Linked DNA regions of Nothobranchius furzeri. The protein of the gene in region 2 purifies or fractionates together with the protein of the main gene of each other region. This does not show direct contact. Links are inferred from orthologs where the notes say so. Each region holds a gene or a part of one and is shown on either strand. Other genes may lie near its edges.

Region 1 (3,833 bases), on a different chromosome or scaffold from region 2:
CGATCTCTACCTTTTTAGTGTGAGCATCATTAGGTGAGATGCAATGATCAAATGACAGGTAAAACTATGGTTGGACTGATTTTAGTCTCCTTTAAATGTTTCCATTCATCAACACTTCCTGCCAGCTGTTCCAGGCTTTTTTGGAAGTTTAACATCTCCGACAGGCAAATAGCTGTTAACATGTGACCAGTTACTTTTAAAATAAACTCCATAATGTGTCTTTACAAGTGGTTATAGAAGAAACCAACCATTATCCATTACTGAGAACCAGCAGACTGAAGCCTCATTTACACCAAGTGCAGAACAGAATGAGCAGCTGATAGAGCTCCAGACAGGTGTGGACATTCATGGTCCTCCTTGGATAAATATCTCACCACTGTTCCTCTAAGGAGATCAGAATGCTGCTGCCAAAATAACATTCTGATGTAGGCCAAGGATTGATACCCTGACAGAACCACTCAGCTGGCTGTGACACTTTTAATAAAGCAACATTTAGGTTTTCTTTTTTCTGTATGCATTTGTCCTAAACTACAAATGAAGAGGGTAAAACTAGGCCACATAAAACCTTTATTTGAACTTTATATTTACAAACTGTAAACAAAGCGTTCATTTCAAACACGTCGGCACTTGCATCAAGGAACAAAACATTTAACTGAACTCAAAAAGGTTGACATAGACTCAAGTAAAAAAAATAAACAAATTGGAATGTGGACTGACATTATCGCTTTTTGACTAATCTTATATCCAACCCAGTCACCTGCTTTGACAAACTTTTAATCTACAATACCCCAACTGCCATACAAATGATTTTGTCTCAAATCAGCTAAAGTAGCTAAAGAAGAAAAAAAAAAGCAGAACAGAGAACACAATAAAAACCTAAAACATAAAGGTGTGCAGAATCCAGGCAAAGGCTACTGAGCCTCATCCTCTGGACAGGAATGCCACGTCAGCCGCTCCTCATAGAAGGATATGACCACCTGAGGGCAGCGCGTGTTGGCCTCACGAGCAGGGACCAAGTCTGCTTCATCTGACTCTTTCCTGGGGGACAAAAAAATAAATAAAAACTAAAATAAAACAGCAGATCTTAGAAAAGCCTATTTAAAAATCAAAGAAATAAATTATATATATTCAAGTGATTTTATTTCTAAATACTCTACATGTTTGTAATAAACCTTTTCCGCTTTTAGTTCGACTCCCTAAAAAAACACTAATGGCCATGCAAAGCAACCGAGGTAAATGTGAAACTACTCTTGTTGAAATTGGGTGTAAAGTCTGCCTAACTCACCACTTCATCAAGAACATCAGCTCCCCGCTGCTGTCTGTGGCACCAATGATTCGCTCTGGCTCCAGGTTCCTGGCAAAGCCGCGAGGCTTATCAGGCTGTCAAATAAAAACAAAAACAGGTTATAAACCATATTCTGATTGCACAACCTACAGGGAATCATGCTAGCAGGTCAGAGACATAAAAAACGTATAATCTAACCACATCTTTCTTCTTGGGTTCCTCTTCTGCATCATCTGTGGAGGCCTTCCTCTTCACTGCAGCCGGCTTCTCCTTTATATTCTTCTGGGAATCCAGAAAGGCCTGAATGAGCTCGGGGCAGTCCAGGTTATCCTCGGGTTCCCAGGTGTTGTCCGCTCTGAGGGAGCAAAAAAAAAAAAAAAAAAAACAGGTTAGCGTTCAAACCAAAAACATCCCAAACGTGTTAAAAGGGAAAAGCTGGGAGGCTTCATGCAGCCACGGTGCGTTAGAGGCGGAGAGAGCAGGACATTGTCCCGGGTAACTCACTCTGTGAAGCCTTTCCACTTCAGGTAGAACTCTACTTTCCCGTTGACGATCCGCTGGTCCAACACTTTCTCCACAACAAATTCTTCAGGCTCCTCCTGGGTCTCGGTCTCCTTCTTAGGCTTTGTATTCTGTTTCTTGCCCATTTTGCTTTTTAAAGATAAAAAGACGAGCCGCATTTATTCGGAAGGCCTTAAATCCACCCGGATGCTAGGCTACAAATAACTCAGCCAACGCTAACATAGGACATTACTCTAATTTGGCCCACCTGCTAGTTAGCTCAGCATTTAGCAGCTAAACGTAACAAAGGTTGCTAACACGCTGACCCCTTACCTAAAATTTCCTTGATTTTAAACAGTCTCATCTGCGGATTTTATTTGAGCAACAGAATTAGTAGAATTGTAAAAGATAAAATAAAAACTGTGGTAAAACTACAACACATCCCCACAAAACAACACCTTACTTGCCTTACTTTCAGCTAGCTTAACATATTACAGTAATAGCTAAACAATGGCGATGCTAACGCTGCTGGGTCAACAACTAAACTGCTGTTTGTCAAAAAACCAGCAACGTATAGGTGGCGTTTTAACACGCTCAGAGTAGCCTGATGTAATTAAAGAAATACTCAACATTGTTTTAAAAGAGAAGAACTCCGCACACTCACCCAAAGCGCGCGGATTTCTATAGTTGTTCAGCACCACGCCGCTCGGATGAAGTCGATCCCACAACGAAGGCGGCGCCAAAAACTAGTTGTGGCTACGGAAGCCCAGAAGGAAAAGCGATTCGTCTGCAGCCGAGCTGACCCATGTGTTCCAGAAGGGCCCTTTTCATGAACCAAGGCTTCAAGCCGCTAGTTAACGCAATCTGAGACACGTTGGTAGTAAATGAAAACGTTTATATATGTTTTAAACTATAAAGTAGTGGAAGGAATAAAGCATAAACACTAGCAATCATTTTCTTTTTCAGATTGTTCAAAAATGAAAAATTTAACAAATTGACCCCAAAGTCATAATGCTAATGCTGAATTCAGATTAAATTGAGCACCTGATGTCTCAAGTTGTTTAGATTGTTCTCAGACTGAGTGAAACAATTTCTTTTACTTTCTACTGAATACCGTAAATGACTGGCTTGTGATTTTGAACGAGTATTTGTTAAATATGCTTTACAGCCATATTTTAATAAATCTGTCTGCCTTCTGTCCTGAAATGATGCCGGTCAACACAGGTGTTCAGCTCAGGTGAGGAAAATAATGTTGATATGCTCACCAGCACGCAGCACCATAACAGTAATGGTATATATAACCTGTTAGCCAGACAAAACAAGACATTATTTAAATGTTTTTAATAAAGAAATCAAGTATTCTTCAATCAGATTTATCTTTTCAATAATCACCGCAAACAGACAGACAAATGTGACTCATGCATGAAAAAACAAGATGTATGAAAGTGAAATGCACACAAATAAACGTTTAAACCAGGACAAAGAGAAAACATGATCTTTGGATCACAATTAAGTTTATACACTCCCTAGTGCAGGGGAGTCCAATCCTGGTCCTGGAGAGCCAGTAACCAGCAGGTTTTGTGGTTTTTCTGCTTCAAAATGCTTGATTAGCTGGTTGAATCACCTGTGCAGCAGCTCATCAGGCTCTGCAGAAGCCTGTTAATCACCTGCTGATTGAAATCAGGTGTGCTGAAGCAGGTTAAAACGAAAAACGTGCTGGATAACGGCCCTCGAGGACCAGGATTGGACACCCCTGCCCTAGTGTAATCAAACACTCAGCCTGTCATATTGCATTCTCTAATAATCCCAAACATATAAACAGACAACAATCATTCTTGTTTGTGTAGCGAGTGGATAACATATTTTGCATGACAGGGGATTTCTTCTGTTCTAAAGTTATTTTTAGGTGAGGTTGTGCTTTAGTAGATGTGAGGGGATTCATGTCAGATCAGCTGACTTAAGTAAAGCACAAAAGGGTCAGCAGATGAGTAAAGTTTGCCTTTTTGTGCCATTTAGAAGCATCTTTATGGGAAAAGTGAGAAATTAT
Region 2 (4,160 bases):
CAAAACTGATAAACGTAAAAAAAGATCTAACCTTTAAGAACAAAGAGTTAAAGTTCCTAAACTTTCAGAGTTTAATCTCCGGTCTGGAATCACGCTGAGACAAACACAGCGGAGTGGAGCTTATTTTAGACACGTAGCTGTTGTGTATCTGCAAATTAGACTGGGTTGGAGATGAGATGTAAAAAAATATTTGGAAAAACCTAAATAAAAAATACATCCGATTTTTTATGTGCATGCATTTTTATTTATTTGGTACAAACTATAAATATAAAAAACAAATTATTCATTTATTATTAATAACATGTAACATTTTTGAGCACTTAATGTCACATTATTAATAAAACCTGACAGGCGCTTTATCTGGTGTGTGAGTCGGTTGCTCTTCAAACTTTTATTAATGTAGAAACACTTTGTCCAATTATTAACAGCTAATAATTAATTTATGTAGCCACTTAAAGATTATATGTTCACCATCAAAACTAGAGATAACCGATATGGGTTTTTCTAACGCCAATGTCGATAGGCAGAGGTCAGGGTCAGCCGATAAGTGCTGCTGATTCTTTTCGGCTAATTTTCATGGCTGACTTGAGATTTTTCACATGATCAAAATGACACAAATAACAACGGCAGATGTGAGTAATATTTCTGAACCTGAATCAGTTTTTGAACACTGAGTTGAACTAACTGTGGAATATTTGTTTTGTGTACTCCTCAGTATTAAAATAAAACATTTAACCAAAGTTTATAAAACAAAGATTCAGGAACATAAATATACAGATGTGCCAACTTTAAATTGGATTTACTAAAGAGATATATCAGCCGATGCCAATGTATAAGGTGAATATGGGCCTGATAGTATCGGTTTACCCCTAATCACAACTCACCGTTATGTTTTCAGACATATCCATACTTGTTTATGTTTATTCGCGTTTATGTTTATTTATTTAGCAGACGCTTTTATCCAAAGCGACTTACAATTTATAACCTATAGGGCATGCTGTGATCTGTGGGGGAAACCGGAGTACCCGGAGGAAACCCACGCATGCATGGGGAGAACATGCAACTCCATGCAGAAAGGCCACAGCCGAGTTTCGAACCTGCGACCTTCGTGCTGCGAGGCAACGGTGCTAACAACTGCGCCACCATGCAGCCTACTTGGTCAGTCTCATCCATACGTTTCCTATCACCCGTCACAATCTCTAGGTTACTGTCAAAGATTGCATAATTGACCCCAAACTGTTTTATTCTTGACTAATAGATTTAAAACTAAATAAAATAGTGTAGTTTATATATGTGCATCATTTTTATGAACGTGGGTGTTTTATTTTTTCTTCAGTGTTTGATCTTATGTAAATAATACATATTTACCTTGAATTAGTTTCTTGCTGGCATTATTACTTGACTTACAATCCATTCCTGAAAAGAGCAAAAACAATTTTTTAAAATACGATTATATGCAAAGTTGAAATACATTTCAGCTTATTAAAGATGATGACTTATTAGGCTAAAGGCGCCAAGTCTCAACTGTAAAAGCTAAAAGGATTCAAGCTTTTCATTTTAAAAATACCACAAAACTGATCAGACTTCAGTAAAACTCATCAAACTAAACACAATTACAATACCTGTGAATCTATTCGTTAACATCCTTGTAAAAATATAGTAATGGATTAATCATGGATGAACAATATGTTTGTGTAGTTTTGGCATTACTACCATAAGCAAAGCTAAACTGAAGGGTGCAGCTGTGCAGCCCTGGTTCTCTGTGCCGTCGCTGTGCTAACAGTAAAGTATCCCTGCTGGTGCAGCTCGGCTCGCTCTCCCGCCAACTACTGTGTCAACCGGTACTGCAGGCCCGAGTCTACAGGGCCAACACCTCCGGTCTGTCAGGCAGAGATTTGGTTGCCTTCTACGGACGACAGAAAACGTAGGAAATAAGAAAAACGGCTGCAATGTGACAGAATGATGGCAAACGCAAAACCACTGGCGTGTGTGTGACAGTCCGAGGACTAGAGGAGCTTTGACAGCTCCAATATAAAAGTAGCTTTCATGTTAGGTGTTAGCTTTGAGACCCTGATGCATGCTACATACCTAGCTGTGTCTAATCAAACTAGCCAGCAACTTTGAAGGACAATCCGTGAGCTACCAAAGCATTTGTCATTGTAGCATAGCAAGACTTGGTCGATGTGTAACCAGTCTATGGCAAATGCGACAAAGTTCCCACAACTGGTGTTTGGTCAAATAATAACATCCATTCTGTGAGACCGCTAGCTTTACGCAGAAGTTGTGCTGTAACGTTTATAAATTGGCATTTGGTGCAAAAACATAATTCAGTACAGAAGATCGGTGAAAGCTCTGCTGTGAAAAGGTTAGCGTTGACAAATTTGAAATTGTACAACATATATATATTTAATCGTTGATGCAATTTACTTATACTCCATACAAACAAAATAGCACAGCAGTTCTTCCACTATGACATTACTAAAACTTCGAGTAATCGATCATAATGTCGGTACACTGCCATGATGATTTTTTACCTCTTCTGCGGGGAGTCGATGCTGACAAATGTCCGTCCACAGATGCGTTTTCGGCTGCCAACATCCCAACTACTAACCCGGGGCTTTTCACGATCACGGTGTTAACGACAAAAACAACTTTAACACACCGCTAGATATAATGTTAACACAAACCAGTGCCTTTTAATATTACAAAACTATTGTGTCCTTATTTAAATGGCCTGCAATCTCATTTTATAACAGATAAAACATAGCTAAAACTCTTTCCGTGCCTCCGAAGTGGTCCCTTGGTCTACCCCGACGTCTGCCTCGCGCTCCAGAGTCGGAATTGGCGGGAGCCGGCTGCTTCCATCAATAACCTTCGCTGATTGGTCTAAAACGTTCCTCTGGTTCTGCAGAGTATGCTCGATTTGAACAACGGGTCTGCACGTTTGTGTCAACCTTCACGTTATGTGAAGCTTTTTGAACTTTAGAGAAAGAAAGGTTGAAAATACTTTATGATTTATATATTTTCCTCAATAATAAAGCCTGTAACGTTTTAGAAACAAGTGATCTATTTAATAAATTGCACTTTAAGCGCATACTATCCACCCGGTAATGGGACACTCTGTACCACGAAACGAAACGTAGCAGATTCATTTCTAAAGACACTCCTTCCAGTTGATGTTTCAGGATCAGTGATTGGGTGATAGGATTGACTTTTTTTTTTTACAATCTTTATTTAATACAACTTCAAAAACAAAAAAGCACATACCACAAATAATACCAACAAAAAGCAACAATAAACACAACAAAGCAAATGGAAAAAAGTTTAAATCATGTCAGGGATTTTAAAATTCAATAAATGTGGACAAAAACAAGCAGATAAAACTTTAGAAGTCATCTGCCTTGTGTTGGCCCTGAAGAGAACCCAATCATGAAAACTGTTCTGTTAAAAGAGGGCGTGTATATATATATATATATATATATATAAACTTAAGCACATTGAATTTCAAACCAAGGATATTTCAGTTTATGTTATCCTCAAATTTTGATTGATAATAATTTCATATGAAACGTGTTGACTAGATTTTAATGATTCGTTATTGTGAACCTGACTCAAGATGGCGCCAAATCCACATGTTGACCATTCTCAATTGAATAAGCTCATTTTCATTTTAACATACTTTTTTTATTTTTAAGTACACCGCAAACATTAGCATGTTTGTGTCAGTGAGAAAGTTGTCTTATGTCAAATACTGCATACAAGCGTTGCATACAAGCGTTTTAATTATATAAAATTTGCAACCATAATTCACACACTAGGAAGTGGGCGGGATACATTTGAACTGAGTCGTACCAATCGGTCATAGATGGACGTCGTTTATCATGTTGTCACGCGTTTTCCGTTATCGCTCAAGCCTTTGCAGGGATATGTAGTTTTTCAGAAGGGCAAATGCGTTAAGTACTGACGTTAAAAAACTACAAAGCCGTCAGTTGTGGCGCATGCGTGAAACGTTTGAAGGGGGTCGAAAAAGCGCATCCTGGATTATCCATTCCTGCGGTTGTCGACGGAAACGTGAGTAAAATAAACCTTGTCCCGGTAAAACGGGCTTATTTTCTTAATATCTAAGATTACATCTTTGTCAGCAGCATTAATCAGACACA

The links. Proteins that work in one complex are often made in the same cells at the same time.
Region 1: the proteins of chaf1a (region 2) and cbx3a purify together in Homo sapiens (affinity purification with mass spectrometry; 5 studies listed by BioGRID and IntAct, with this or other methods). This does not show direct contact. The link is inferred for Nothobranchius furzeri from reciprocal best matches to the Homo sapiens genes CHAF1A and CBX3.

The regions. Positions count from the first base shown.
Region 1 is NC_091751.1:29,401,832-29,405,664, reverse strand, and holds cbx3a (chromobox protein homolog 3a), read right to left. Parts: upstream 2,600-3,833; 5' UTR 2,451-2,599; intron 2,438-2,450; exon of another isoform or gene 2,120-2,437; intron 1,937-2,119; 5' UTR 1,933-1,936; coding exon 1,790-1,932; intron 1,641-1,789; coding exon 1,484-1,640; intron 1,381-1,483; coding exon 1,286-1,380; intron 1,039-1,285; coding exon 912-1,038; 3' UTR 551-911; downstream 1-550.
Region 2 is NC_091748.1:48,298,914-48,303,073, forward strand, and holds the start of chaf1a (chromatin assembly factor 1 subunit A), read right to left. Parts: upstream 2,809-4,160; 5' UTR 2,599-2,808; coding exon 2,535-2,598; intron 1,417-2,534; coding exon 1,369-1,416; intron 1-1,368. Other genes in the region: scamp4 (secretory carrier-associated membrane protein 4), read left to right, coding at 3,999-4,071. UniProt on the Homo sapiens protein: Acts as a component of the histone chaperone complex chromatin assembly factor 1 (CAF-1), which assembles histone octamers onto DNA during replication and repair.